Mus musculus: one gene and its partners. The protein of the gene in region 4 purifies or fractionates together with the protein of the main gene of each other region. This does not show direct contact. Links are inferred from orthologs where the notes say so. Each region holds a gene or a part of one and is shown on either strand. Other genes may lie near its edges. The genes, in order: Srpr, Tmem259, Rnf185, Srprb and Stx18.

Region 1 (5,321 bases), about 68 Mb from region 4:
AAGAAATTTGAAGATTCTGAAAAAGCTAAGAAACCTGTGAGGTCCATGATTGAAACACGGGGGGAAAAGACCAAGGAAAAAGCAAAAAACAACAAAAAAAGGGGGGCCAAAAAGGAAGGTGTGTTTGAGTTTCCTGACCCTGCTAGGGCATACAAGATGTTAGCATAGTATTATAAAACTCTGTGGTACTCTTTGACATTGCTAGCCTCCTTTAACTTAATGCTCACCACCCTATCACTCCCTTGAGGCATTGTAGTCTCCAAGGTGTTTGGTCCAAGTTGCTCTTTAGGATTTGGAAGAACTGTAGTTATTACCTGGGTGGTTGGGATTTATGTTTCTTTTCCTCCAGTGAGGTTTCTTTTAACAGGTTCTGATGGCACTTTGGCTACTAGCAAAACAGCCCCTGCAGAAAAGTCAGGTCTCTCAGCGGGACCTGAGAATGGAGAACTTTCCAAAGAGGAGCTGATCCGTAGGAAGAGAGAGGAGTTCATTCAGAAGCATGGCAAGGGTCTGGACAAATCCAGGTCAGCACTGTTACCCTGTCTCTGGTGACTGTTACCCAGCTGTGCTGGGGCCAGGGGACTCTCCTCTCATGTTCCTTCCTATGTCATCCTTTGCAGTAAATCTACAAAGTCAGATACTCCAAAGGAGAAGGGCAAAAAAGCACCCCGGGTGTGGGAACTAGGTGGCTGTGCTAACAAGGAAGTCTTGGATTACAGTACTCCCACCACCAATGGAACTCCAGAGGCAGCCCTTTCTGAAGATATCAACTTGGTAAGATGCATAAAGGTCAGAGTGAAGATCACCATTGGCCAGAAATTGGGAAGGAAACATCTGGAGGGTATATCTGGATTTGAGAGAGGAATGAACTATATGTGGGTTTTTCTAAGGTCTCAAATAATGTTGCCAGGGTATATCCTGGGCTCTTCCCCTCAGCTGTTAGTGTTCTTGATCACACCTCTTTTCTTTGCCTGTGTTCTCTAGATTCGAGGAACTGGGCCTGGGGGACAGCTTCAAGATCTGGATTGCAGCAGCTCAGATGATGAAGGGGCCACTCAAAATACCAAGCCTAGGTAGAAGGATTTCAGGTGGGAGGTGGTGTGGATGCAGAATTGATGACCCATACCTCCTGCCTGCTGGCCTAACGCATACTTGTGATCTTCTGTAATTGTAGTGCTACCAAGGGAACTCTGGGTGGCATGTTTGGGATGCTGAAGGGTCTGGTGGGTTCCAAGAGCTTGAGTCGAGAAGACATGGAATCTGTGCTAGACAAGATGCGTGATCATCTCATTGGTGAGTCTGGAGGACTGGCTTGACTGACGGACTATGACATAGTTCATTAGGAATAGAACCATTTTCTAAGCTGTGCTCTTGAGACCCGATCATTGTTAGCTCGGAACTCACAGCTGTCCTTCTCTTCTCAGCTAAGAATGTGGCTGCTGACATTGCTGTCCAGCTCTGTGAATCTGTTGCCAACAAATTAGAAGGGAAAGTGATGGGGACATTTAGCAGTAAGTATCTCCACAAGTCACAAAGTGCTCGTGCGTCTCAGAGGTGATGCAGTCAGACAGCTTTGGTATGTGCCTTTTGGCACACATGTTTGAGTTCCCAAACTTCTATGATAGAACAGCCTTTAGGACCTAACAGGACAGTTAATTGAGATAATAAAGTAATAGAACAGTGTGATCTGAATTCTGAGGGAAAACCTACTATGGTCTTAACTCCATTAGTTCAGAAAGATGTTGGGTATCAAGTATATTTGACTTTATGATTGAATCCATCCATCCCCCTTTTAAGCTGTGACTTCAACAGTCAAGCAAGCTCTCCAGGAATCTCTAGTACAGATCCTACAGCCACAGCGTCGTGTAGACATGCTCCGGGATATCATGGATGCCCAACGTCGCCAGCGCCCTTATGTTGTTACCTTCTGTGGTGTTAATGGAGTAGGGAAGTCTACCAATCTTGCCAAGGTCAGCTCAGTTCCACAGCCTGCTTTTCCACCCTGTGCTTTCGAATCCTGGGTCTAGGTGACAGTTTTCTTTAACTTTTTTGCAGATTTCCTTTTGGCTTTTAGAGAATGGCTTTAGTGTCCTCATTGCTGCCTGTGATACATTTCGGGCTGGGGCTGTTGAGCAGCTTCGTACACACACCCGGCGCCTGACTGCCCTCCATCCCCCCGAGAAGCATGGTGGCCGTACGATGGTGCAGTTGTTTGAAAAAGGCTATGGCAAGGACGCTGCTGGCATTGCCATGGAAGCCATTGCCTTTGGTACAGTGTGGGGACCAAGGGGGCTTGTGTCCTTGTCCTGGGAATTTGCACAGACTAAGGCTATTACTAGAGAAGTCAGGGTAAATTACTTGTGTGGGTGGTTTTGGGTAGTAATGTGTGTAAAGGAAAGCTGGTGTATCCTAACTGTAAACCTGAATGTGGTCTTTTTCCTACTTCTTTCCTTTCCCTGAATGGTTTTGGTGGTGGCCAAGAATAGGACAGGTTTTTCCTTACGTTACCTTGTAACCAAATCCAGAGTCTGGGCAAGTAAACAGGATAGGCTTTTCAAATAACCCACACTTGGACATCTTAGGAAGCTGGCAGTGAGCATGGGTGACAGTTGGGTGACTTTTCACATAGCAGTGTAGGAAGTCTTGAGAAGTTGGTAGTGTGAGTGAGTTACTTGCTTGGAGTTGACTGCTTTTCTCTTTCTAGCACGTAACCAAGGCTTTGATGTGGTGCTGGTAGACACTGCTGGCCGCATGCAAGACAATGCCCCTCTGATGACTGCCCTGGCCAAACTCATTACTGTCAATACACCTGACTTGGTGCTGTTTGTAGGGGAGGCCTTAGTAGGCAACGAAGCTGTGGATCAACTGGTGAGAGGGTTTGGGCCCAGTTCCCTTTAGAACTTAAACTTTGGCAAATTAGATGGGTTCTTATGTTACCTTTTCACTTTCTAGGTCAAGTTCAACAGAGCCTTGGCTGACCATTCTATGGCTCAGACACCTCGGCTCATTGATGGCATTGTTCTTACCAAATTTGACACCATTGATGACAAGGTAAAAGTGGATGACTGGATAATGAGACTGGGAAGGAGGAATGGCTGACTTTAAAGGAAATGGAGGCGTTGAGTGAAAACAGGGCTTGAGTTGATTGATTGGCCATCCATTTTCTCTTCTTCAGGTGGGAGCTGCTATCTCTATGACATACATCACAAGCAAACCCATCGTCTTTGTGGGTACTGGCCAGACCTACTGTGACCTACGCAGTCTTAATGCCAAGGCTGTGGTGGCTGCCCTCATGAAGGCTTAATGTGGCTCTTGCCTAATACCAAATCGCCGCTTGCCCCAAGTCCCTATTCCTATATCAAGAATGTGCTTTAGAGTATGTGAGCAACTTGTCTTCAGTGTAGTACAAAGGCAGAGTGAGGGGAGCTTTGGAGACTTGCAGCTCCTTCTAACCCAATCCTTTGTTCAGCCCTACCTCCTTCTGCAAGGAGGGCCTAATCATGTTACAATCACTGCCCAATGACCCTCCCTCTTCCTACTCAGGCATCCCCTTCACTCTGCCTACAGACTCCATATCATAGCTTTGACCAATGGTTGAAAAACCCAACACCTGGAGTGTTGCTAACTAGTGTGATCACAGAGCCATGGTGAGATAAGGAGCAGTTTGAGGTCCCAGCTCTAATGGCTTAATTCCAGAGCCAGCTCTGGATCTTAATGGCATCTATCTAGAAGAATACAGCTTCTGGGTCCCTGGTGTCAGGATGACAGCCACCTCACTGTGGCAGTGATGGTGGCCCATTCTTAATTGCTGCTAATTATAAATCTGGTGATGAACTCTACACCCGATTGTTGCCCCAAAGCATCAGTTAGGCCTTGTTACAAATGAGTGAAAGGCGAGTGCCCACTTCTCTCAGAAACACGGGGAGCAGAGTTGCCTTCCAACCTGTGCCTGCTCCCAAAATCTAGATGGAAGCTTTGCATGTTTCCTTCCTGGGAGAAAGGGATTGTTGAGAAGGATTCCTGTTGTCCCGTACCCACCCCACCCTCAGCCTCCTGGGCAGGTCCTGGCTTTTCCTCATTCTCTTCTACAGTGCCTGGTAGACAAGTGCTACGTTGAAGAACACAAACCTCTTGTTAAGACTTGTCCTGTAGTTTGGTATTACAGATGTGCTACTAGTGCAATAAGGTGAAGGCTGTCTGCCCAGAGAAATACATAATTTATATAAGAAAATAAATTTCATAAAGAAATTGCCTCTTAGGTTCATATTATTTTATACAGGATATAAAATAAGAATGCTAACTCATACTAACTATATAGTTCTTGAGCTTCTTTTTGGCAAGGGCATGATAGGAACTAGTAGTGCTCTAAGGAATTGGGTAAGTGCCTGTCCTGAGAAGGATCACCACCCTATGATGAAAATAGAAGAATGCCAGTTTTTAACAGTAACTCTTCAAAGTAGAGCCAGAGTTCTGGCAAGTAAATGAACAAGCTTTTAATACAGCTCAGTTATGTAAAATACTGTACACTGTAAAAGATCTAGAAAACTAGAGCTTCAAGTCATGTTTTAAAAAAGCCATAAGCTCAATTGAAAAACCAAGTGGAGTACAAAACTGCAACAAGAGCCCACTGACTCCATGACTTCTTGCTCCTCAAGTCCTGCAGAGCTGCAGCCATAGCCAGGAGTCATCACATTGGTCTGCTGTGTAGATAAGCCTGTCCAGTCTTGGGGTAGGTAGGAGCTGCATTGGGTCCTGATGTCATTGGGTGTTAAACTGGACCAGGCAGCAGAGTATCAAGAAACAGCCAGCATGAAGGGAAGGTGCAACACTGCCACCCCTATTCTACCCCAGGCTTCAACTTCTGGGTATTGGTACTTCCTGGGAGCTCTGTTGAGTTCTTGCAAGTTTGCTTGTTAACACATCCACAGGAAGGCCCCACAGCATGGTCTAGTGGTGATTTCTCCAGCTTGCTCAAGTACTACAGCCTATGGAGAAACAAAAGACAATAAAGTTCCATAGAGCAAGTCTACATATCTGAAGCTGCAGGTGTTTAAATCACTCAGTCCTAACTTTTCAGAAAGAGCAGATTCAAAGAATCTCAAGACAGGTAGGAGAGACAAATTATAATTCCCTATAATATGACTGACAGAATAGGAAATAATATACCTCTTATTTCACCATGTGCTGCAGATGAACCATTTAGCTGACCTTCTCTTGCCATCCCTGCTAAAAAGAGAATATTGGTATAGACATTAGATGAAGCTGAAACTTTTTCAAAAAATGTCACTACACAGGACAACTTTTGAGTGTTTGTTTTCTCC
Region 2 (6,051 bases), on a different chromosome or scaffold from region 4:
AACAAAACCCCAAACACCCCAGATCCCAAGATTCTGGATTTCTAGCAGCTTAGTGTATTAGAACTCTGTCCTGAGATCGAAAATGAATGGAATTTAACATTCCATGTAGCTGGGTGGTGGTGGCACGTCTTTAGTCCCACCCAGCACTCTTGAGGTTCTCTGTGAGTTCGACTCCAGTCTGCTCTACAGAGTGAGTTCCAGGACAGCCAGGGCTACACAGAGAAACCCTGTATTGAAAAACAAACAAAAATCCTCCTTCCCCATTTCACTGTGTGACACTAATTATCAGCTCTCTCTGAACTCCAGGCTCCTTGTCTGAAAATCAGATGAGTTAATATTTGCAAACTCCTCTTGGGGCGGCTGATATAGATGTCAAAAATCTTAAGAATTCTGGCCCTAGCTGCTGGAAGCTGGCTGGGCCCCAGGATGACTCTCCCTGCCAGGGTCACACCTTCCGGGGGACAGACCATCTCTGCAGTGCCTGGGATCTGGGTGGTAGTGCTTCTGCTGTGGGTGTGGTGACCATGCCCTTGAGATCACCACTCCGGAGGCAGAGAGAGGCAAGAGGATCACTGTGAATATAAGGCCAGGCTGCTCTACAGAGCAAGTTCCAGAACAGCCAAGGAAAGACCACAAACTCAAAAAGTAAATAAAGTAAAATCCCATCTCTCAGTCAAGCCTTGCTTGCTCTGGTCGTGAGCGATATGACTGACTGACGTGTTGGCCTGTGCTGGAGGGAACCCCATTGCTTCTCCACGAAGGTCAGGCTAGGTTTTTCTAAAGCTCGGGTCACCCAGGGACGTTTCCTATTTTCAAACAAGTGACAAGTGTATTCCATAATAGTTTCAAGACTGGTACATTTATTAGGTGCCTACTGTGTTGCAAGGTGCTCTGGGTAACAGCAGACGGTGACTCTGGGGTATCTGAAAGCTAGGAGGGAGGGGTTCCCTTCGCTCAGCCGGTAAAGCGCCCCGCCCTTTTCCTGGCCGCCCAGTCCGGATGCAGAAATTCTCATCTTGTTCCATCATACAGATGCTCCTAGTCCTTCCTTCAAGCTGGAGGTATATAGAAGGCGCACAACGTTAGGGCACGGTGCATACAGAGACAGCTCTGCTGCGTCCTAAAAACAGACAGCTTCCTTCGAGTGCGCAGTAACCGGTCAATAAATGCCCTTGTTCAGGCAAATTGTACGGGAATGTGGCAGCTATAGTAGAAAAGGAGACTTCAAAGGGTCAATTGCGTTATTTTGAGATGAAACAAAATATGGAACGCTTCACGAATTTGCGTGTCATCCTTGCGCAGGGGCCATGCTAATCTTCTCTGTATCGTTCCAATTTTAGTATATGTGCTGCCGAAGCGAGCACAAGCGACGGTTTTTTGCCTCAGGTATTTAAAGGCAGAGAAGCAAATTACTTTTCACATACAGTAATTATGATTTTTTTTTGTTTTTGTTTGGATAAAGTAACGTTTTCACATGTCAAAAAGAAAGGCTACCACTCATAACACCGCTCAGAATAATTATCTATCCGCGTGAAAGCTCACATTTAACTAATTAATATAGCTGTCTGGGAGAAGCTTGTGCCAGCGAAGCCTTCTGGGAAGTCATATGCAAATTAGACAGGCACTACGAGGCTCCGCCCCTCAGTGGTAGCCGGATCAGCGCGGAATCCGTGATACTGGTGCGATGGTGAAACTGTCTGCTAGTAAACTATCCATGGAATTTCGCCCTTCAGCGCTGCGGCCGCCAATGAAAACATTATGCTAATGAGCAGTTAGGAAGCCCTGCCTCCCAGGGCAGGGTGGGTAATGAGTCCTCAGCAGACCCCGCCCCTAAGTGAGGCTGTGGCCAGAGTGAAGCCCTATGTAAATAGGCCTTACTAAGTGCGTCTCCGCCCCCTCTAATTCTCCGCCAATAGGAAACCATATACAAATACGACGGGCAACGTCGCCCCGCCCGCAGGTGGATGCAAATGTTTTAGCTTGTTTCTGAGACCACGCCCCACAGATCGCCCACCGCTAACCTGGATCCCTCCACAAACCAAACGAATTACACCCGACACTGCCGCTCAATGCTTAAGATAGAGCTCTGGGCTAAAGACATGGCTAAGAGCACTGACGCCTCTTCCAGAGATCTTGAGTTGAAGTTCCAGCCTCCGTTATGGTGGCTCACAACTCCTTTCTGGTGTATCTGATGCCCTCTTCTGGTGAGACTGAAGACAGCGACAGTGTACTCACATATATAAAGATAAAGCTCAATGCAAATGAATCGTGACACACGACTCCACCCCAGGCCGTGCCACAGTATGTGGGAGTGAATATATGCAAACAAACGGGGCTGCTCTTTAATGCACTCCGTGTAGCCCCTGCAAATTGCAAGCTCACTGCAAACGAGACCGGACAAAGCTTGAAGGAGCACTAGGAAAATAAACTGAACTCCATGGTACTCTGCCCTTTAGCGCTGAGGCGACCCGCATGAAATGTGTAAAGTCAGGCTCCGCCCACTACTCGTGGTGCCCGCCTTTCGGCCCTGAAGCCCGGCCTCCTCGGGCGGCCGCGGCGATCCCAGCGTGCCCCGCGCACGGGCGGCGCTCTGGCCCGGCGCTCTCGCCGGCGTCGCGGGCCGGACGGACGCGAGCAAAGGGGCAGGCGGCGGCGGCGGCCGGGGGCGGCGGGGGGGATCCGGCGGCCGGGACGCGGCGGGGGTCAGCCGGCGGCCGCCGGGGTGACGCGGGGCGGTGATGTCGGAGCACGCGGCAGCCCCAGGGCCCGGGCCCAACGGCGGCGGGGGTGGTGGCGCGGCGCCCGTGCGCGGCCCTCGCGGCCCCAATCTCAACCCCAACCCGCTCATCAACGTGCGCGACCGGCTCTTCCACGCTCTCTTCTTCAAGATGGCCGTCACCTACTCACGCCTCTTCCCACCTGCTTTCCGCCGCCTCTTTGAATTCTTCGTTCTGCTCAAGGTGACCTCTGACCCCTGACCTCTGACCCCTGACCCCAGCTGTCATCCGCTCGCCCACCCCCGGCAACTTTACCACTTGGCTCCTGACGCCTGGATACCCTGATACCACTCTTACAGATGCTATCTCTGGTCCTCACTTCCTCAGCTCTCAGGCCCCGCCTCCTGCCCTTTGGCCTCAGTCTGCCACTTGGGAGCCTAGGCCCCAAATTTTTCCACTCAAGACCAGAGCCCAGTGTCCTCTTGGAGTAGGATTTTGGACTCGAGGTCCACCTTCCCACCTGTCACTCCCATCCTGTCCTGCACCTCCACTGAGAACAATATGGTCATTTCCATTCCATTCCTGACTTTCCACTGTAGACCACCTCCTGTGCTGGAGGCCCTGTCCCGCCTGTCATTTCTATTCTACCCTGATTCTCTCAGTCCAGTCTCTACTAGTCAGTCCCATTCCAGCACACCCTGAACCAACCCCCTGGGGACAGCCCCCTACCCCCCAGTGTCACTGCTCAAATTTTCTGTTACTTCACTGTTTTCAGACTCTTGCCAGGTTTTCTGTGGCTTTGGGTGAGGTCATCTCACTAGGGTCAGCCACAGAGTCACAGCCAGATTGGCCAGGGACCTCTACAGCCAGCACCTGCCCTGGCTGTGTCTTCTTCATGTGCTCCCGGGAGATCCCGGTTCTCGGTCACAAAGGCTACTCGAGGGATGGCACCAGGCTCTCTCTGAGGAGCTGCCTGGGCCTTCTGGTGTTGGGGTCATGGCTTGGTGGCTGGCATGCTGATATTGGAGGGCATTGGTGAGTTTGGGACTCACTCCTGGTGCTTCTCAGAACTGAGCGTTCGGGGGTTTCATAGGTAGATCTAGCTTGAGCTCAAGACAGCTGTGGGCATCCCCTCAGGCCCCAGTTCATTGGCTGCAGATGAGCCCATGCTCCATCTTCCTTCCTGCCCTCCACACCCTCAGGGCTCCGGGTGGGTGCCCAATGTCTAGTCAGAGACAGGGTCGGCTGGATGACAGTAGACCTTATCCTCTTTCTTAACTGGGATAAACAAGCCACACAGCAGCTGGTTTCTGGAGCTGCTGACGTTTCTGGGAGCCCATTTGCTGTGTTTCCTGCCCGTCCTGCCTGCCCAGCTTCCACCCAACCTTCCTAGAAGGGACGCCTCACAGCCAAGGCCTGCTAGGCTTGTACCACCCTGCGCCCTGTTCCCACCCCAGCCTAGGTGTCAGCTCCTACAGAGGCCCAGAGAAGAACTGTTGGGCTTGGTATCTCCTCTGCTGGCTTCAGAGCCTCAAGGACCGAAACTGGGCAGCCATGGGATAGGGGGGCACAGCATGGTGCCTTAGACCTTAGGATGTGGCAGGGGTCAGAGGGCAAGGAGGTATGTGGCACCAGCTCAAGTCCCTGCACCAAGTGGATTTGAGCCCTGAAAGGTGCTAAGTGGCACCCTTGGGTGGGTCATGATCTCGTGGAGATCCTGGCTGAGGCTGGTATTTGGTTTTGTCTTTATAGTGTAGAATAGAGTTTATTCATGGCTCAGGGAAGGGAGTTAAGAGTGTAATAGAGAGCCAGGCGGTGGTGGCGCACGCCTTTAATCCCAGCACTCGGGAGGCAGAGGCAGGCGGATTTCTGAGTTCGAGGACAGCCTGGTCTACAAAGTGAGTTCCAGGACAGCCAGGGCTACACAGAGAAACCCTGTCTCAAAAAAAAAAAAAAAAAAAAAAAAAAAAAGAGTGTAGTAGAGATAGAGAGTAGAGAAGTCGAGGCCGGCCACAGCCGTGAGCATGGGGAGAGAGGGGGAAAGGAAGAGCCCAAGAGGACAAGAGAGAAGCAAGCATATGAGTGAGGCTGGTATTCTGACCCCAGTGCAGGCTTCCCATTGGTCAGATGAACTGACAGCCCAGACACAAGACTGGGGTGACAATGCAATACTCCATCCCACCCCCGCTTACAGGGTAGGAGGTTTCCCAAGAACCCTAGGTCTTGGCATTGAGGTGTCTGTAGGAGGTGATGGTGTGCAGCCCCACCAGGCCGGTATAACCAAGTTCAGTGCCTGTGTATGTGGCATCAAGTGGGCACATGAGGGAGGAGTGCCCAAGGGCCTGAGTGGGGTGACTGGCACGAGTCAGTGACCAGTGAGGACTCGTGGGCTGGCCACAGTGGCCATGGTGGGAAGAGAGGACCCAGGCTATAACCCCTGTCCAGTGGCTATCTTATGTTGACTCTAGATGCCCAGTAGGTGGAACAGGACCTGGGATACAGTTCCTGGCTCTTGGATTGGACTGGGAGGAGTGACTGCTGCGGTCTCAGCCTGGGCTGCTTGGCCTTCAGTTCACCTGATACAGAAATGATTTCTTGCCCAGGGTGAACCTCACAGTTGACAGGGTGGGTGCAGCTTCAGGTGTGGCTCGCTGGAGACTGTAGCCTTGGTCTCAGTCCCTGGGCCTTCCACACATGCTCTGTATTCCCTCAGGTCACTGCTAGATGGGCTGAGTGCTTTGTGGGTCCAGCTCTGTCACTAGATTGCAGAGGAGAGGCCTGGCTACAGGCACATCAGGATATGGAGCAGGGCCTTTTTGCCTGCTTCTGTCCCTTACACTGCTGCCTAACAGCAGGTGGGGAGGGCCCTACTGTGCTTGCTGTGGCTGAGTCCCTTAGGACTGTGGTCTGGGAATCCAGTCTCGTCCCTGAAGGGTGCAGGGATGTGAGTGCACACAGTGGGTGTGCCGGGATGTAAGGACCTCATGAGTCCCATCACCCTACTCTATGTTGGGCACCTTATTGGGCCAGGGTCCTATGCTGGCCAGCAGAGACATGGTGGGAAGCTAGGGTGTCAGTTGGGGCCACAGAGGAGGGTGACCCTAGACAGCTACATGGAGTACTGGGTCTCTTTCAGCCCAGTGCTCATGGTGCGCATGTGCTGTCTGCAAGTGTTGCACGACATCCCTGCTTCCACTCAGCATGGGTTAGGGCAGCGAGCGGTTCTCACCCTTCCTGATACTGCAACCCATTAATACAGTTCTTCATGTCATGGTGACCCCCAACCATAGTTTCTATTCCTACTTCATAACTAATTTTGCTATTATTAATTGTA
Region 3 (6,021 bases), on a different chromosome or scaffold from region 4:
AGCCGCGCTGTCTGCTCGCGTGATGACGTCATTTCAGAAAGCACAGATCAGGAATAGGCTCAGAATAGGATTCCAGAACAGGGGCCAGATAGCTCAACGGTCCCGAGTTCAAATCCCAGCAACCACATGGTGGCTCACAACCATCTGTAACGAAACCTGACTCCCTCTTCTGGAGTATCTGAGAACAGCTACAGTGTACTTACATATAATAAATTAAAAAAAAAAAAATTCCAGAACAGAGCAAAAGGCTTCCTCCTTGCTACACCCTCAGAGACAGGACTTTTGAGGGCCAGGCCACAGTACTTAGAGACTCACATACTGAAGCTTGTGTTGTCAGCGGGTGGAAATCAGGATATAGGTCCTAGCAGCTGGAACTGCTGGCAGTGTAAGCACGACCCCAAGTCATCTGAAGGGGCTTCAGGACTCTAACTGCCTTTGGTCCCTCGGTGATTAGAATGGCCAGAAGTCCCCAGAGGGTACTGAGGAGTCCCCAGGACCTCCAGCAAGCCAGTCCACTGTGCTTTGCCTTTGGCTAGCACAGCTCCCCAGGGACAAGGTAGGGACTCAGGTCTTGTCCTGACTCAGCCTGGTAAACTGTACTGGGATCCAATGTAACAGGAGATAACAACAATAGCAACAACAAAAGATACATCAAGATTAACATGGACAGGAAGTCAGTTTGTAGAGAAAGGGCTGTAAGAGACCATGCACCAGTATGGTGGATACTTTTTAGGGACTTTGCTCAGCTTACTAGCCCACTTCCATTCTTGGGTAGTTTTGTTTTTTTATATGTATGAATGTTTTGTCTAGAAGCATATATACTCACATGTTCATGCAGCACCCAGGGAGGCCAGAAAAGGGTATCAGATCCCATGAAACTGGAGTTAGGTAAGGTTGTGAATCACTATGTGTGTGGTTCCTTGGAATCAAACCTGGGTCCTCTGGTTCCCCGTCTTCACAGCTGAACCATCTCTCCAGCCCGTTTTCACCTCCCTCCCTTCCTTCCTCTCTTCTCTCCCTCTCTCTCCCTCCCTTCCTCCTACTCTCTGTTTTTTGTTTTTGTTTTTTTGAGCTGGGTTTCTCTGTGTAGCCCTGGCTGTCCTGAACTTGCTTTGAAGATCAGGCTGTCCTGGAACTCACAAAGATCTGCCTGCCTCTGCCTCCCAAGTGCTGGGATCAAAGGTGTGCACCGCCAATACCACCTGTCCTTTTCCATTTCTTGATAAGTTGTCTAATTTTATTCCATGCCTAGTTTAAAAGGTGTGACCTTTTCTCCATCTTCTGGCAGCTGTTAGAGTTTTCAACTAGCCTTGATTGCTTTTTTCAAACTCTAATAAAGTTGTCCTGAGCTTCCTTTGAGTCTCTTCTAAATTCTTGTATTAATGATACTAAGAACCCCCCAAAGAATCTTACTTTTTCCAGGAACAGAAGGAGGAGGAGTATTCTGACCGATCCCTCAGGTCCCCCACAGGTGGAGCTAGAGATTGATAAGGTCAAGGACTCTGGGGAGAGGATGCAGGCTCACCTGCCATCTGGCGTTTGGGCTTTCACACTGGCAAGCAGAAGCTGAAAGCCATCCAGTACAGGATACAAGGCCGGTGTGCCAGCCCTACCTCAGCTTACACACAGGAATGCTACTGCTACTGCTTGTCCGAGGCAGGACGGAAGTCCCTTCTTGTTCTACAGAATGAGGTGTGCCGGCTCTCCACCCCCCACTCCCCCCACCCCTGCAACAGCACAGCTATGCAGCTTTGTAGGAGCTGCACAGCAAAATCACTCACCTGCACTGAGCACTGTTGCACTGGACTCACATGTTTTTATATATGGAAAGCTAAAACACCAATTTTTCTAGTTATTTTTAAATATAATAAATGCACTTGCTACTGTAAAAAAAAAACAATCCCTCATTGGTTACAAGTTCATCTAATTAGTTTTAAAATAAATTACCATGTATTTATTAAGTGTCTCTGTATACATGTGAAGGTCTGATGACAACTTGCCAGACTCCTTTCCTTCCACCGCTGGGTTTCTGGGGACTGAACTAGAGTTGACAGGCTTGGCAGCAAACATCTTTACCTCTGAACCATCTCATGGGCTCCAATTAGTTATACTCTTATTACCTTTATTATTTTGATACTGAAATTTCACAGATTTGGCTAGTAGAGTCTTCAAGAGAGCTCCTGGGTCGTTTTGCACATTCTCATCCATCACCACTGTTAGCATTCCTTCTAGGCTCCGCCCCACAGTTACCTGGCAACAGCGAGGTATGCCCGGCTTACTATAAAAGGGGCTGTTCGCCCCCTCCTCTCCCTTACTCTTTGCCCCCTTCCCCCTCCGCCCTCTCTCTTCACGCGTTCCTGGCCGGCCTCTCTCCCTTCTCCTCATTCTCTACTCCCTTTCCTACTCCACTTCCCATGCCTCCTCCTCCTGTTCTTCTTCTTTATAAAACAGAACAACCACTGACCTTACTTTCTTGTACAAGGCATTCCAAACTGGTATTTCTAGAACTGGCTTTTTCATCCGCCCATTATTTTTGCGACACGGTCCCATGTATCCCAAGCCTGCTTCGAAAACGACATTGAAGTTCTGACCCATCACCCGAATGAATGCTATGATTAGCTGGCGGGTACGCACATATTTATTCCCACGTCTTCACGCGGGCGAGGCGAGCTCGCCCATCCACCGAGCTGCCTTCCCTCCTCTTCCAGCGCTAGGAAACCCTACGGAAAGACCAGACGCCCTCCCCTTCCTGTCCCGGGGCGGAACTTACCAGCCGGGCGCCTGGGCCGGAGAGCAGCGCTGCACACCAGCCTTTTCCGGCTGGAACCGGAAGTTGTTCTACTAGAGGCGGCTCCGCGTCAGGTGACCAAGTTCCCGGTAGGAGGGGTCGGAGGTTCAATCTTTCTGACTGACGCGTCTCTAAGACTGGCTCGGCTACTCCGGGACGGGGGAACGGACAGCTGGCGTCGCTGGCGCTCGCTCTACCGCGGCGGCAGGTAGGTGACGAGCTGGGACGGCGGGCCCGGGAGGCATGGGACCCCCTTCCCAGGCTCAGGGATCTGAAGCCAAGGGCCAGGAGTCATCCAGTCTGGCTCTGTCCAGGTCCCAGAAGGAAGGTCAGACTGGCATCCGTGGGTACAGATTGGGCAAACTAAGGCCCCAGAAAAGGGAAAGAAGGGTGCGCACAAGCTCCCCTTCCAGACGGGGCTCGTCCTGACTCCCGTAGCCTCGGGGGCGGGACCGCCTCTCTCGTGGGTGGCGATTTGGTGGAGTGGAAAGATGAGGAATGCGGTGAACAGATTTGGGGTGAAGCGTAGGAGACCTGGACTTGAGTTCGCTGCCTGCAGCTCACTGTGCGTTCGAGGCCAAGTCTTTGACCTCCCTGAACCTAGTTCCCACAGCTGTACAACCGGGCACAGCTGTCTCAAAAGCGTGGGCCTCCACAGCACCTGCTCCGAAACCCTCCGGGATGCCGGCTCTCCAGCCCTGGGCTTTTCCCACAGCTTGTTTCGAATCTGGGTCTGGATCCTAGGAAACCTTATTTTGAACGTTCTCCTCTGGAGTCCTACTCGTGTTTGAAGCCTGCTCATCCGAAGTGCGGTCCCGCTGTGAATGCGGTACTCGATTCGAGGCAGCTGGAGCCGGCTCGATTCTATGAAACTTCTAGCTTAGGAAAGAACGCCGGAGGAGAATAACTAACTATCTTTAAAAGCTGGCGCGGGGTGGGGGTGGGGGTTGGGTGGGGGAGTTATGGCAAAGAGGCCTCCTGCTTGATCTTTGTAGCTGAAAGAGGTACAGCTACGATTAATAGGTAGGTTCTAGGGGGAAGACACATGTGTACTTACTATTAAGAATTTAACGGAAGAATTATCAGAGGTGACGACTGATGGGGATTGACTGTCTCCTTGGGAAAGGAAGTATACAGGAGGCGGCCCTTTCCAATTTAAAAGGCTCGTATTAGTATTTATTGTGACTCTTACCTCTCCACTGATAACTCTGTCTTCAGAGTGTATGTGATACTTCTTTTGTGGTCTGAGACAGGGTCTCAGGGATCTCAGGCTGTCCTCAAGCTCCTTTTGTAGTTGGCCTTGAACCCGGATCCTGCTGTTTCAGTCTTAAAGAGTGCCAGGATCACTCGTTACTTAGTACCATTATGCCTACAGAATGTGACATTTCTTTGTCTTCCCTTCTGGACTCTCCTCCCTAGTTTATATCTCCTATCAATAAGGCCAGCACACTTGATCTTATGTAATCTTTTACTGGTTGTCACATTTGTCATCCTTCTTTTCATCATCCTTTTTGGAATGATCCATTATCTGATAAAAATTATCCAAAGTATATGTTGTATTAATAAACAGGAAATAAAAATTAATTAACTAAAATTAATACATTGGTCAGTTAGTAATTTTTGTTTTACATTTAAGTTTTTAAAATTTATTTTAAGTCGGGGTCTCACTCTGACATTCAGCTCAGGCTGAGAACAATTTAGAAAGTCAGTCTCTGTCTGTCTTATCTGTGTCTCTCTGTCTTTTTCTCTGTCTATCTCTGCTCTCTTCCTCTCTGCCTCCATCCCTCTCTTCCTTTTCCAGAGTATTATTATGTAGCCCAGGGTGACTTCAAACTGGTCCCCCTGCCTTAGCCTCCCAAATGCTGGGATTGCTTGTTTTGCCCAAGGCTTTGCTTGCCAGTGGGCTCTGATTACAGAATGGAAGGCCAATTCAGTTGTTTGGGTCAGTCTTCTCTCTGGTTTATAAACTGAACTTTAATTCTTTGTCTAGCAGTGTGTGTATAGGTGTGAGAGTGTCTGCAGTTTTTAAGCTAGCTTTCTGGATGCCCAGCACATATGACCAATTCTTTTATGGTCCTGACTTGCATACCTATAGCTTTGTAATCTAACTTTAGATTTCCTTATTTTGCACTTTACCAGACACTAAGTAGATAACTTTTCCATCTCCCATTAGAGTACTTAAGAATGCTTATGTTGTCTGGAGAAGCAAAGATTCCATATTATGACCCAATTCTGCTGACACTTCCTCCACAAAACAAAAGGTTGGGGTTGAACCAAAAGTTCCTGCCTGTTTTCCTGTTGTTTATGTTTCTCAAGATTAAAAAAAAAAAACAGTTGTGAAATGGTCATTCAGTTGTTACCTAACATTCGAGATGGTTTGGCCTTAGACTCTATTGTCATCTCGGTGGTAAGGAAAATGCTCTTAATTTGTTGGATTTTTAAAAACTTACTAATTTGGGGGTTTCTTTTAAAGGGATACTTGATTGATGTAAATGTGTTCTGCTGGCCTGTGAAAAATAAATTTGATGGTAAAAATAAGTTTAGGAAAAGCTACTGGCCGTTACCCTTTCTTTTTGTTGTTGTTGTTGTTTTCCAAGACAGGGTTTCTCTGTGTAGCCCTGACTGTCCTGGAACTCACTCTGTAGACCAGGCTGGCCTCGAACTCAGAAATCACCTGCCTCTGCCTCCCGAGTGCTGGAATTAAAGGCGTGTGCCACCACGCCCGGCACCATTACCCTTTCTTAGTGTTGTAATGCAAGTTAGAGTTCTCACAATAAAAATTCAGGCTTTATAGTAAGCTGGCATAATGTTTTGCTTGCTTGGTGTTACCAAACTTATTTGGTATAAAACCTCTTTTTTTTTTTTTTTTTTTTTTAAATCCTTAACACAGGGCCTTTCTCTGTAGTGTCCAGGGTGGCTTTAAACTTTCTCTCCTGCCCCAGCCTTCCGTACTGGGATTACTGTGCTCCTGCTCAGGGTTATTTTTATGTTTTGTTGTGTTTTGCTTTGCTTTGTTTCGTGTGTGTGTGTGTGTGTGTGTGTGTGTGTGTGTGTGTTCCAGGCCGAGTTTCTCTATGTAACAGCCCTTGCTGTTCTGGAACTCTTTGTAGACCAGACTAGCCTCAAACCCATCAAGATCTGTTTATCTCTGTCTCACCAACACCAGGATAAAAAGCATATGCTCTGTAGTTTTAATTGAAAAACAAATTGGCAAATTCTGATCCGAAACTTAG
Region 4 (6,018 bases):
TAGCCAAGGAATTTACTGTGTAGGTTAGGCTGTGTTGTGGTTTGAATGAGAACATCTCCATAGCTTCATACATTTGAACGCTTGGTCCCCAGTTGGTGAAACTGTTTGGGAAGGATTAGGAGGTGTGGCCTTGTTGGAGGAGGTGTGTCACTGGAGTGAGCTTTGAAGTTTTGAACACCCACACCAGGCCCAGTTTCTTATTCTCTGCCTCTGAATCAGGATGTAGGCTCTTAGCTACTGTGTCAGTGCCATGCCTGCCTGCTGCCACATCCCCTACTGCGACACTCATGAACTCAGCCTCTGAAATATAAGGAAGCTCTCGATTAAATGCTTTCTATGCTTTCTTCTGCCAGGCGGTGGTGGTGCATGCCTTTAATCCCAGCACTCGGGAGGCAGAGGCAGGTGGATTTCTGAGTTCGAGGCCAGCCTGGTCTACGGAGTGAGTTCCAGGGCAGCCAGGGCTACACAGAGAAACCCTGTCTCAAAAAAACAAACAAACAAAAAAGCTCCCAATTAAATGCTTTCTTCTGTATTGGTCATGGTGTCTTTTCACAGTAATAGAACAACAGCAACTATATATTTTATAGTCATTACAACCTACATATTTTAACTTCTAAATATCTCAGAAATTTTACCCTGTATTTCACACTTTCAGTGTTTGTTTGTTTATTTATTTATTTAATGTATGTGAGCACACTGTAGCTGTCTGCAGACACACCAGAAGAGGGCATCAGATCCCATTACAGATGGCTGTGAGCCACCTGATGTGGTTGCTGGGAACTGAACTCAGGACCTCTGGAAGAGCAACCAGTGCTCTTAACCACTGAGCCATCTCTCTAGCCCCGGATTTCACACTTTTATCCTGTGTTAGACTCCAAGTATCTTTTGCCTAAATACGACAAGAGACTCCCATTGATTCCCCCAGCCTCAGTCTTTTCTCTCTCCAGTCACAGTTCTCCACAGATCTGCCAATTATCCATGTCACCTTCAGCTTATTGTTATACTATGAGTAAACTCTGAGTTCTTCAGCATAGCACACAAAACCACTCCCAGGTCTGATTCCTACAAACTTTTCCAGCTGCCTTTCTGCCACTTTTGCTTCCATGGACAATCTAATCATTCTTATACATAGCCTGTAGCCAGCGACTCAGTATCTGGCGATGGTAAGGCCAACGGAGTGGCCCTCTCGAGTGGGCTTCTTCTCACCTGCCCTCTGCCTTTTGAGGATGTATGGAAATCGAAATCACATTGCGAACCTTCCAAACTCAAACTTTAACATCTTTGTTTCATTTCCTACCCAATCACTCACTGCCACACTAGAGAGGAAGGGAATGTCTCATTTCCTCTCTTCCTGGTACCTGCAGGAGTTGGGGTTTTATGTGGCAGTGCGACATTTTAATGAATTTGTTTAGCCTTTAAGTGACATCGACTTTTCCTGTCATCTCCCAGGCAGACCTGTACTTAAATACTTTAAAATAATGACAGCTACTTAATGACAGAGGCTGCAAATGGCCCTCGAGGCTTGGCCACTTCTGACTCGCAGAGATATTTTTAAATTGAAGCTCACATTTTTTTTTAAATGTTTCGATTACCCGATGAAATCTTAAGTAGAAGAGTTCCCATGAAGATCTTTTATAAATAAGTCCTCTTGAGAAACTGAAAAATGTTGTCTACTCTGGGCCTCTCAAATGGCCTACCTGGTTGAGTAGGCCTGCTTCCTTTGGGTGGGAATGATCAATCTATCGTCGACACCTCCACATCCTCCCGAGCACTGATTTTCCTGATTGCTTTTTAAAATGCAGTCATTTTTTTCCGTGCTGGACGTGTCAATGCAGGACACAGAATTCCCGAGTTTCCCACATGTCATTGGCTTTTACTCAAGCTTCTCTTCCGTGCGTCTTTTTCTGTTTTCTTTAGTTGCCGGTATAGGTTAATGCATCCTCCAAGATTCAGGTCCATCTCTAGCTACTTTTCTCTGACCTCATAAAGGACTTGATGTGTCTTTGTGGATTCTCTGTGACTCCATCACATCTTCGGTCACATCATACTGTGGTAAAATCTCTCATAAATTTCATCCCATGTAACGGCCGAGTAGAAATCCTCACCCTCAAATGAAGTTTTGTAGCCGTTAATTTTGCTAAAAGTCATCATTCTTTCAAAAATCGAAATGAAATGGGAGTAGAGGGGTGGGTTTGACCAAAAGACATCATATTCATTTATGAAATTCTCCAAAGATAAAAAATTAAAATGCAAAGAAAAAAAATTCCACAAAGCTATACATGTCTCAAAGCATGCCGATATGAATACACTCGCTAACTGGGTTGTAGAAACCAAAAAACTCCAACTCCCATCAGGCACTTAGCCGAGATACCCCTAAGGGACTACAACTCCCGTGATGCCCCGCGCCCCACCACGGCGTGGAGCCTAGAGCCACGTAACTTTGGCGGCCCGGGAAGACTACACACCTCTTTCATGGCTTCGGCGAACACCCGGCGAGTTGGCGATGGCGCCGGTGGCGCCTTCCAGCCTTACCTCGACTCCTTACGACAGGAGCTGCAGCAGAGGGATCCGACGCTGCTCTCCGTGGCGGTGGCTCTCCTGGCGGTGCTGCTGACGCTGGGTGAGGCGGCCGGCATTCACGGCGAGGGCAGGGTGGCTCGGCGCCGCAGGCCAGGGAGGCGGACGGCTGCGTTCCCTCTTCTACTACTCGTCTTCCAGACCCAGCAGTGTGGAAAGGGGACGCTGAAGTGACCTGGGTCTTGGGACAGGACTTACATGAGGCGGCCCTGTGCGCTTGAGCGCTGCGGCCGCCATCGTTCATTCCAACTTTGAGCCACTTGTGTCTGAACTGGGCTCTGAGATACTGGGGTACTAAGGTAGAGTAGAAATCCACCAATCAAATGTAGCAAGCCACTAATTTTTCCCAGATCCATCATTCTGTGTATACTTTTAGTCTCCACATTTGGATGAGGGAAATAGACGTGAAAAGGTTTACAGTTGATAGTGGCTGGCGCTCCGTGAGTTCCTAACAAAACTGACTCTAATCCGTGTGACAATGAAAGTAGTCCAGATGGACGCTTTGTTTTTTTGTCGTAAATGCCTACTAATAATGTCTTTAGAAAATGAAGGCTGCCTTTCTCTTCTCTGCAGTGTTCTGGAAGTTCATCTGGAGCCGAAAGAGCAGTCAGAGAGCTGTTCTCTTCGTTGGTCTCTGTGACTCTGGGAAAACGTTGCTGTTTGTCAGGGTAATGCTTTGATTTTCACCTCGGTTAGACTTAAGAGGGATGGGTAAGGCATTTCCGTAGCCCTGTCATCTTGCAGTTTATTTGGTACAGCAAGTTTAGGACATGTTTTTAAAAATATTTTTTTTTCTTTTTAATTATATGTATGTGTGTGGGTATATGCACATGAGTGCCTGTACCTGTAGAGGCCAGATGTGTCAGATTTTGTAGAGTCGGTCTTCAAAGCTGCCTGATGTGGGTGCTGGGAATTGAATTCAGGTCCCTTTGCTAGAAGCAGGATGGGATCTTATCCAACTTAGTTGAGTCTCCAGCCCTGGGAGTTAATTCTTTTTTTTTTTTTAAGATTTATTTATTATTATATCTAAGTACACTGTAGCTGTCTTCAGATGCACCAGAAGAGGGAGTCAGATCTCATTACAGATGGTTGTGAGCCACCATGTGGTTGCTGGGATTTGAACTCAGGACCTTCGGAAGAGCAGTCGGTGCTCTTAACCACTGAGCTATCTCTCCAGCCCCCTGGGAGTTATATAAAAAAGACTCTAGGAAAACCTGTAAAAACACACACACACACACACACACACACACATACACACACGATGCTGTTAGAATACGTGGTCTGGGGATGGGGAGGTGACTCAGTCTGTTTTCTTGCCTGGCAAAAAAATGAGGGTCTGAGTTTGGATCGGTGGCACATACGTGAAAGCCAGGTCCAGAAGTTCTTGTCAGCAATCCCAGGGCCTAGGAGGTATGGATCCCTGGAATTCCTTGGCTCACCACCACCCATGCTAGTTGGTTTTCTCCCCGGGTTCAGTGAGAGACCACAGCCTCACAAAAGGTGGCTGGCTGTGTGGTGGTGGTCCATGCCTTTAAAGCCAACACTTGGGAGGCAGAAGTAGGAGGATCTCTTCAAGTTTGAGGCCAGCTTGGTCTGTAGAATGAGTTCCAGGACAGCCAGAGCTGCACAGAGAAACCCTATGTCAGGGAAAAAAAAAAAAAAAAAAAAGCAAAAACAGTAAATAAATAAGGTGGAGAAAGATTAAGGACTCCCGACATCAACCAACCTTCAGTGTACATACACCTGTTAAAAAATGCATTACCAGTTTCTTGGGCTACTCAGAATATAATGGTTATGGACATACATTTTTTTGTTTGTTTGTTTGATTTTGTTTTTTTCCAGACAGGGTTTCTCTGTATAGCCCTGGCTGTCCTGGAACTCACTCTGTAGACCAGGCTGGTCTTGAACTCAGAAATCCACCTGCCTCTGCCTCCTAAGTGCTGGGATTAAAGGCCTGTGCCACCACTGCCTGGATAGACATATATTCTTAAGTGTAGCTTGCGTTCTTATTCTTTCTTTAAACAATCAATAAAGGATAAAGGAAGCCCAATAACTTTTGCTGATTTCTGTGACTTAAAATAGTCCCAGCATGGCTAGTTCTGAGCAATCCAGCATTATCACAATCATGACAAAAATTACCCTCCTTCGACAGTCTTAAGCTAGAGAGGCCTCCCTTTACTAACACTTAGTTTTATGTAAGCCAGTGTATTTTAACTGAACATGTTTTACTATGGAGAATTTACCCTCTTCCTTTGGAGGGTATAAATAATAATAATAGTAGTAGTAGTAGTAGTAATAGCTATTATTATTTTAATTGTGTGTGTGTGTTCATTCATGTGTGTAAGGGCTGGTACGTGTGAGCCTTGGCACATCTGTGGAGGTCAGAGGACCAGAAGTGTTGGTCTTCTCTCATTGCTGTGCCAGGCAAGCTAGTATGAATTTCTGGAGATTGTCCTGTCTCCCTCCCATTTTCCCCATAGGAGTACTGGGCTTGTGAATGTGTGTACTACTAGATCTGGGTTTATGTGGGTTCAGAGGGGCTGAACTTAGGTCATCAAGGTTACACAGGAAGTGTTATGTCCACTGAACATCTCCTGAGGCCTTGAGTTGGTTTTGGTGCCTAAAATCTTTACAGGTCAGTAATTTGGCCCCTTGCTGTTGTTTAAAAATAATACTAATAATGTTGGGCCCAGGGTGCCACTTTCTGATGGCACTGCAAAAAGAAGGAATAAAGCTTGTAATTAATTATTATTATTATTTGGTTTTTCGAGACAGGGTTTCTCTGTGTAGCCCTGGCTGTCCTGGAACTCACTCTGTAGACCAGGCTGGCCTCGAACTCAAAAATCCGCCTGCCTCTGCTTCCCGAGTGCTGGGATTAAAGGCGTGTGCCATCACTGCCCGGCTGTAATTAATCACTATTCTACAAGTTAAAAATAAAGCAGTATGATCGTTTTCAGCTGTTTCAAGTAGCATTCGTTCATTTGACCTTACTCTCCACAGAATGAAAATGTCATTTTTTACATTGCATTCAGTGTTATTGTAACTCGCTTACCCTGATTTGTCTGTCTTGGTTTTGTTTTGTTTACAGTTGCTAACTGGCCAGTACAGAGACACACAGACTTCCATTACCGATAGTTCTGCCATATACAAAGTCAACAATAACAGGGTAAGAGGTATCTGGAATGTTCTAGAATCTGACACTCTTCTTTACTAAGTTCTACTGTCATGTGTGTTGCTGACCCAAAGCAACTTGGGGAGGAAAGGATTTAATCTGTTTACACTCCCGGGATGTAGTTCATTGTTAAGGGAATTCAGGGCAGGGTCCTGGCAGCAGAAGCCATGCAGAAATGCTGCTTGCTGGTTCACTCTTCAGTTCACTTAGCTAGATTTCTTCATAGCTCCGGACTACCTGCCTAAACATGGCGCCTCCCACATTGGACT
Region 5 (5,520 bases), on a different chromosome or scaffold from region 4:
ACTGCTTTCCTGTGTTAAAAACAAACAAACAAACAAACAAAAAACAGCGCACACAAGTTTCTCATGTTTCAAGATCATGTAGGGTGAGTGGCTTGCCCTGCAATGGAGTGATGTACTCCTCAGTCAGAGCCTCTGTTCCTAGCAAAGCTGTGCACTGCTCCTGCTTCTGTGGAAGTGATGTCGAAGACTGTACCTCATGGCCTTCTGCTCCACTCTCCAAACCATTCTCACACCTGTTGGTCTGGCCACTCCTCTCCAAGCCTTAGCATTAATGTCACTTGTTCAGGGAAACCTTTCTTCTTGACAGTTACCCAGGCTGCAGTATGTTCTCACTGACACCACTCTCATGCTTTCTTCCTCTTTTTTAGCCACACCATGTCTGACTATGGGAGGATGACAGACACAGAGCGAGACCAGATAGACCAGGATGCTCAGATATTCATAAGGACCTGTTCAGAAGCAATCCATCAACTCAGAACAGAAGGTGAAGTGCTCTAAAAGATGCCAACAGATCCCATGACTGTGCCAACCAGTTCAACAACTCATTGTGCAGCCACGTAGCATTCCTTCTTTCTTTCCGAATGACATTTAAGACTTAAAATTTTATAATCCTTCTGAGATAAGGTGATCAAAGCCCAAAAAAGATCATCACTCAAGTTTTAAAAAATGGAAGGCAGGAATGGGAAGGACTTTTCTAAATAGAATCCATAACCTACCAAAGCCCAAGGTCAGAGGGACCAGATTGTGTCTATGAAGACATGCATGTATGGCTATGTTCTGAGTGGCAGGATGGATGCATGTGGCTAAGGGTGGAACGGTATTCCCTGAGATCTACCTGTCCTGTTAAAGTCAGCTTCCATACAAGACATCACGGTTAAGAGAAGGCTCCGCAGCTATTACTTAAAAGCTATGCACTGGAGCTCTGCCACATGCTAGCTCTGTGACCTCGGGCAAATCATTTCATCTCCCTGGGCTCAACTTTTACAACAAAACAGTACAGATGATAATTAGGCATATCTCTTAAGGTTCACTCAAATTCTTACAGTGTGCTTAGAACTGTGCCTGACACTAGGAACCTGGTATTATTCCCACCCCACCCCCCTTCATTGGGTTTCATCCTTGTTGAGGAGCTAGATGGGTTTCCAGTCTTATGTCTTCCTTGATTCATAAGCATATACATTAATACTACAGAGGTCAAAGTTGACAGGTGCTGTTGGGCCCATGGCAGAGACTTCTGCTGGAGAAACTTCTGAAAGAACACTATCAGCCACCAGGGAAGTCTGCTTGTCAGAAAAATATGCAACATACAAAATTCAGTTTTCTGTGTCCAGCATTGCAAAGCCCCTAGATCATTATGTGAGTAGTCCCAGGTTATAGTCCTCTGGTAAAAACATAACCTGTACCCCATACTCTTAAGGACATTAGTTAGGCATTTATGTGACTTTAGACTACATACTGCCTCTGAACCCCAGTGGTCACCTGAGGTAGCTCTGTGATGTCCTATCATCATGCCCGCACCCGGGGCACCCAGCCCCTCCACCAACAGCGGTATCTTACTATAGGAGCTGCCACAGCCTTCTGGGTGGTAGCGCGTCCTTGTAGCTCATCAATGGGAAAGGTTCTCAGAGAGCAGCATAGTATGGATAGTGCCACTCAGTGTCTACGGGGAGAAAGCAGCCACTGTAAGCTGAAAAGCAACTCAGGCGGAAGGCGTCTGGGTTTCTAGCACGTGTGATTTAAGCATGTCACTTGAAGGTGAGCCTGGGCATTGGATGCTGTTAATACAGCCAGGTCAGCATTCCGGAAGGCGCTGGATCAGCTCTGCTCCCCCGGGGCTGTAATAAGCTATAAATTATTTGACTGCAGTTTCTATGGGTTTAATCTCTCACCTGGTGAACCCAATAAATCTTACTCTTAAAAATGTAGTCTCACTTGACATGAGGCTGTTTTATAGCTGTGCTTTTGAACATGCTTTCACTGAAGCGCTCTGGGGAAGCTGACTGTTCTGTCGGGTCCTTGAGCACAGACCTGAGTGCTGTCCTTTTCTCTTACAGCCCACAAGGAGATACATTCCCAGCAAGTGAAGGAACACAGGACTGCCGTTTTGGATTTCGTTGACGATTACTTAAAAAGTATTTCATTTTCTTCTAAAGGTCAAATGTGGTATTTCATAAGAGATGCAATTTAGAATGGAGCTTTGCTAGCTGAAGACCATAGTGTCTCATTAGTTTTAATGATACCTTTGCCTACGAAGCCATTTTAAATGGTCTCTGTTCTTCTTTTTTTTTTTTTTTTTTTTTTTTTCTGCTTCGACAGGAGTGTGTAAGCTTTACTCTGAACAAAGAGCCATCCGAGTGAAGCGCGTGGTGGACAAGAAAAGACTGTGAGTATTGCTGCCTTTGCTCTTCCTCAGCAATGGCAACCAGAGCTCGTAAAGCTCCAGCCCTATTGGCTGCTCTGTGCCGTTCTCACCCGTGCTGCCATACACTGAGGAGCACGAGTGAGCTGAGCATACACTGTCTACTAGGTGGTGCTAGTCAACTCTGTTAGCCCACAGCAGCCCATGAGCAGGTCCTCTCTTTCATTTTCTGAGGATGCTGAGGTTCAGCGGGTTAGCAAGCCCCATAGTCTCATGGCAGCTGAACCGGTATTGAGCCTTCACCAATTCCTCTTTCTTTTTTTGTTGGGAGTAGTAAGGAGACAATCTGGTTCTATAGTCCACACTGGCTTTAAACTGCCATTGAACCCATTGTTTCTGTGCTTCCACATTCAGAGTGCAGGGGTTACAGGTGTGTGCCATCTACCCAGCTTCCCACCCTGTTCCTTAATATCCCTATGAAGTGGGACACTTGGCGCTGTTTGACCTTGGTCTCTGCCCCCATAACTCCATCTTTGAAAGTTTTTCCAAAAAAAGGGTTTTCACAGTGACCAGTGCTCCCCTGTATGACAGTATGACAGAATGTATTCAGGATTCTGTGTGTATTGAACCCACCCCTCCCTCTACTCCAAAACCCTTTTTGGCATGGTTGGCGGCCAGTTTGCCAAGGCAGGACCCAGGGGAGCAGGCCTGACTCTGGTGATGTATGTCTGTCATCTGTCAGTATGGTAAGGTGACCAGTCACTGGCTGTCACAGTCCCCAGGGAGGAGAGGCATGTCTGCCGAGCTGTTGCAGGTAGAGACAAAAGGAGGCTGAGGCTCATTCGGCCTTAGTCTTGCTTTTAAGGAGAAGTTTCCTCTGAAGTCCACACTGATGTCAGTCAGATGAGAAATGTACAGCATTACCCTAAGCAGAAGACCTTGGGGGAGCAGCCCTCTGCTCTTTAGCTTTTTGAGGCAGTCTCTGTACTTCTCAGGTAGGCCCTGAACTCAGGTCATACCACCTCAGCCTCCCAGATGTGGGTACTGGCATTTCTCACCACTCTGACTTCTTTCTTGTTCTTTTCTCATCTTTAGACACAAGACATCTGCTTAAAACATACATGTAGTTGTAATTTTATGCCCCCTTGTGCCCAGGTCTCATAAAGGTGAAATATGGCAGATTGAAGGCTATAGTGTTTCTATCATAGCTTTTGTTTCTGAATCAGCCCCCAGCTCCTCTGCTCTGCAAGCCTTGTGCGACTTTGTTCTAAAGGGGCTTTGCTTTTCCTTCCTGTGAACACAATTCTGTCATCCTTCTAGCCCCAACTCAAATGTCACCTGTCCCCTGTAGTGTTCCAGCTGCTGCCAGGAGTATTGTGCCTCCCTTCTTAGTAGGCTCCCATTTTGTTGTTTACAGTCAGGTACAACACACACACATACACACACACACACACACACACACACACACACACACACACACACGGCAGCGGGGCTCAGCCACCGTTGTGTTTCAGCTCATGGCACCATCCCAGTCCTTTGAGGAGGCCAATGAGCAGAGTGTTCGCCATTGTCACGAGGTGGTTCTCACTACTGTTCTGTTTGGGTTGCTAATGACTGTCGTTAAGAAGTTGATTAAGGAGTCTAGCTGCTCATATTCTGTAGTCTCATTTGTATGGTGAAGGAAAACATACCTGTCGAGGTACAGCTTGATTGCCCACTGTAATGTCTTAAGAGTGCAGATGATATTATGTGGTAGCTTTTGTTCTCACAGAGTAGAGATCTTTCTATCATACCAAAGGGCTCTTATTTCACATTGCTGAAAGTACTTTGCTCATTAAGCCAGAAGTATTCCCAGCAGACCACTCTGCACTTCTCTACAGTGACTATATTGTCTGTAAGTGATAGCACTGTTATTAGAGGTACCTGTTTTCATCTACCCTGATGGCATTTGTCATTCTGAGCTGACAATGGTACCTGTTCCATGTTGCCTCTAGCTAGAGAGGGATAACTACCCTTGATAATCCCACCTCCCCACTTTTTTTCCTGCAAGAATATAAATTTTTTGGAGGTGGAGACCACTCTTTTTTGTCAATGCATTGATCAGAGCCTGCTACAAAGTCCATTCTCAGCCATTGGTACCTGAGTGAAGGAGACATCCAAAGGGGCATGGCTGCTCACTCCTGGCTCATTGATTTTACAGAGTAAAAGCTATGTGCAACAATATTGGATGTAGCATTGGCACAAGTGGCTCCGTCATCCATCCCCAGTGAGTTTTAAATCCACCTCTTTTCCTCTTGATCTCCTTAAATCTCTGGTATTTTGGGTGATTGAAGCTGAAATGGCCATCTCATGCTTTGGTGGCATGCACTCTCATGAAACATCTGAGCTATCAGAACCATGTTCTCTCCAGAAAAACAGCTTGTGTATCATGAGAATCAGGACTAGGCTGAGACCCTTGTCTGCTGGTGCAGAGGTGCCTTTCATATGTCCAGTGAATGTCAGGTGCTGTTTGTGCTTTCCAGCTGACCTGGCTCTGAGGTTTGCAGGGTCCAGGCCATTTAGTCAAACCCTTCACTTTTCTGGGACAGTGTTTGTATGAGCAGAAACTTTTAGGGGCATTCTCTGTCTCAAGGGAGATCTAAGAATGGAAGCTATTTGTTGAAGGTTGTAGCTTCTTCAAATACTGAGCCCATTACAAAACAAGGTCAAGAGTGAATAACTCCGTAGACCCTGCTTAAATTCATAACTCTAGCATGAAGCTATGGTATTAACATGTCTCACCACCACAGTTGCTGAAGATGACTTTCTAAGGTATTCAGAAGACGTGTTGGTGGCCCAAGTACAGCTTACTTGGACAGTGTAGTCTATTGTTGGACTGGAGGGATGCTCTTTTTCCAGATTTCTGTTTACATGGGCTGTGTGCCCTGATGATGCCTTCGTACAGGGAGCAGCAGGCCCTTCCTCAGTCCAGACCAACACACACCAAAAAGCACTGCCATGATCTGCAGCCACACAGGCCCCTCACATCCTCTGTATGTGTTGCCTGCTGTCAGTACAGAGGAGGAAGATCAGGCTACCTTTCTTACCTTTTATAGAAGATAGCAGGTCTCATGTGATGCACCTCTTCATGTACTGACCTCAGATTTAAAGAGTGTCATGTA

What was found.
Region 1: the proteins of Srprb (region 4) and Srpr purify together in Homo sapiens (affinity purification with mass spectrometry; 6 studies listed by BioGRID and IntAct, counting the BioPlex papers as one, with this or other methods). This does not show direct contact. The link is inferred for Mus musculus from reciprocal best matches to the Homo sapiens genes SRPRB and SRPRA.
Region 2: the proteins of Srprb (region 4) and Tmem259 purify together in Homo sapiens (affinity purification with mass spectrometry; 3 studies listed by BioGRID and IntAct, counting the BioPlex papers as one, with this or other methods). This does not show direct contact. The link is inferred for Mus musculus from reciprocal best matches to the Homo sapiens genes SRPRB and TMEM259.
Region 3: the proteins of Srprb (region 4) and Rnf185 purify together in Homo sapiens (affinity purification with mass spectrometry; 3 studies listed by BioGRID and IntAct, with this or other methods). This does not show direct contact. The link is inferred for Mus musculus from reciprocal best matches to the Homo sapiens genes SRPRB and RNF185.
Region 5: the proteins of Srprb (region 4) and Stx18 purify together in Homo sapiens (affinity purification with mass spectrometry; 3 studies listed by BioGRID and IntAct, counting the BioPlex papers as one, with this or other methods). This does not show direct contact. The link is inferred for Mus musculus from reciprocal best matches to the Homo sapiens genes SRPRB and STX18.

Annotation. Positions count from the first base shown.
Region 1 is NC_000075.6:35,212,763-35,218,083, forward strand, and holds the end of Srpr (signal recognition particle receptor subunit alpha), read left to right. Parts: coding exon 1-118; intron 119-367; coding exon 368-524; intron 525-620; coding exon 621-774; intron 775-984; coding exon 985-1,073; intron 1,074-1,174; coding exon 1,175-1,293; intron 1,294-1,424; coding exon 1,425-1,511; intron 1,512-1,797; coding exon 1,798-1,970; intron 1,971-2,055; coding exon 2,056-2,269; intron 2,270-2,704; coding exon 2,705-2,868; intron 2,869-2,952; coding exon 2,953-3,051; intron 3,052-3,175; coding exon 3,176-3,304; 3' UTR 3,305-4,241; downstream 4,242-5,321. Other genes in the region: protein FAM118B, read right to left, coding at 4,972-4,985, 5,167-5,226. UniProt on the Homo sapiens protein: Component of the signal recognition particle (SRP) complex receptor (SR). Ensures, in conjunction with the SRP complex, the correct targeting of the nascent secretory proteins to the endoplasmic reticulum membrane system.
Region 2 is NC_000076.6:79,980,819-79,986,869, reverse strand, and holds the start of Tmem259 (membralin), read left to right. Parts: upstream 1-2,609; 5' UTR 2,610-2,738; coding exon 2,739-2,960; intron 2,961-6,051. UniProt on the Homo sapiens protein: May have a role in the ERAD pathway required for clearance of misfolded proteins in the endoplasmic reticulum (ER). Promotes survival of motor neurons, probably by protecting against ER stress.
Region 3 is NC_000077.6:3,449,184-3,455,204, reverse strand, and holds the start of Rnf185 (E3 ubiquitin-protein ligase RNF185), read left to right. Parts: upstream 1-2,248; 5' UTR 2,249-2,996; intron 2,997-6,021. UniProt on the Homo sapiens protein: E3 ubiquitin-protein ligase that regulates selective mitochondrial autophagy by mediating 'Lys-63'-linked polyubiquitination of BNIP1.
Region 4 is NC_000075.6:103,198,514-103,204,531, reverse strand, and holds the start of Srprb (signal recognition particle receptor subunit beta), read left to right. Parts: upstream 1-2,466; 5' UTR 2,467-2,472; coding exon 2,473-2,620; intron 2,621-3,150; coding exon 3,151-3,245; intron 3,246-5,665; coding exon 5,666-5,743; intron 5,744-6,018. UniProt on the Homo sapiens protein: Component of the signal recognition particle (SRP) complex receptor (SR). Ensures, in conjunction with the SRP complex, the correct targeting of the nascent secretory proteins to the endoplasmic reticulum membrane system.
Region 5 is NC_000071.6:38,104,510-38,110,029, forward strand, and holds part of Stx18 (syntaxin-18), read left to right. Parts: intron 1-368; coding exon 369-484; intron 485-2,054; coding exon 2,055-2,132; intron 2,133-2,316; coding exon 2,317-2,383; intron 2,384-5,520. UniProt on the Homo sapiens protein: Syntaxin that may be involved in targeting and fusion of Golgi-derived retrograde transport vesicles with the ER.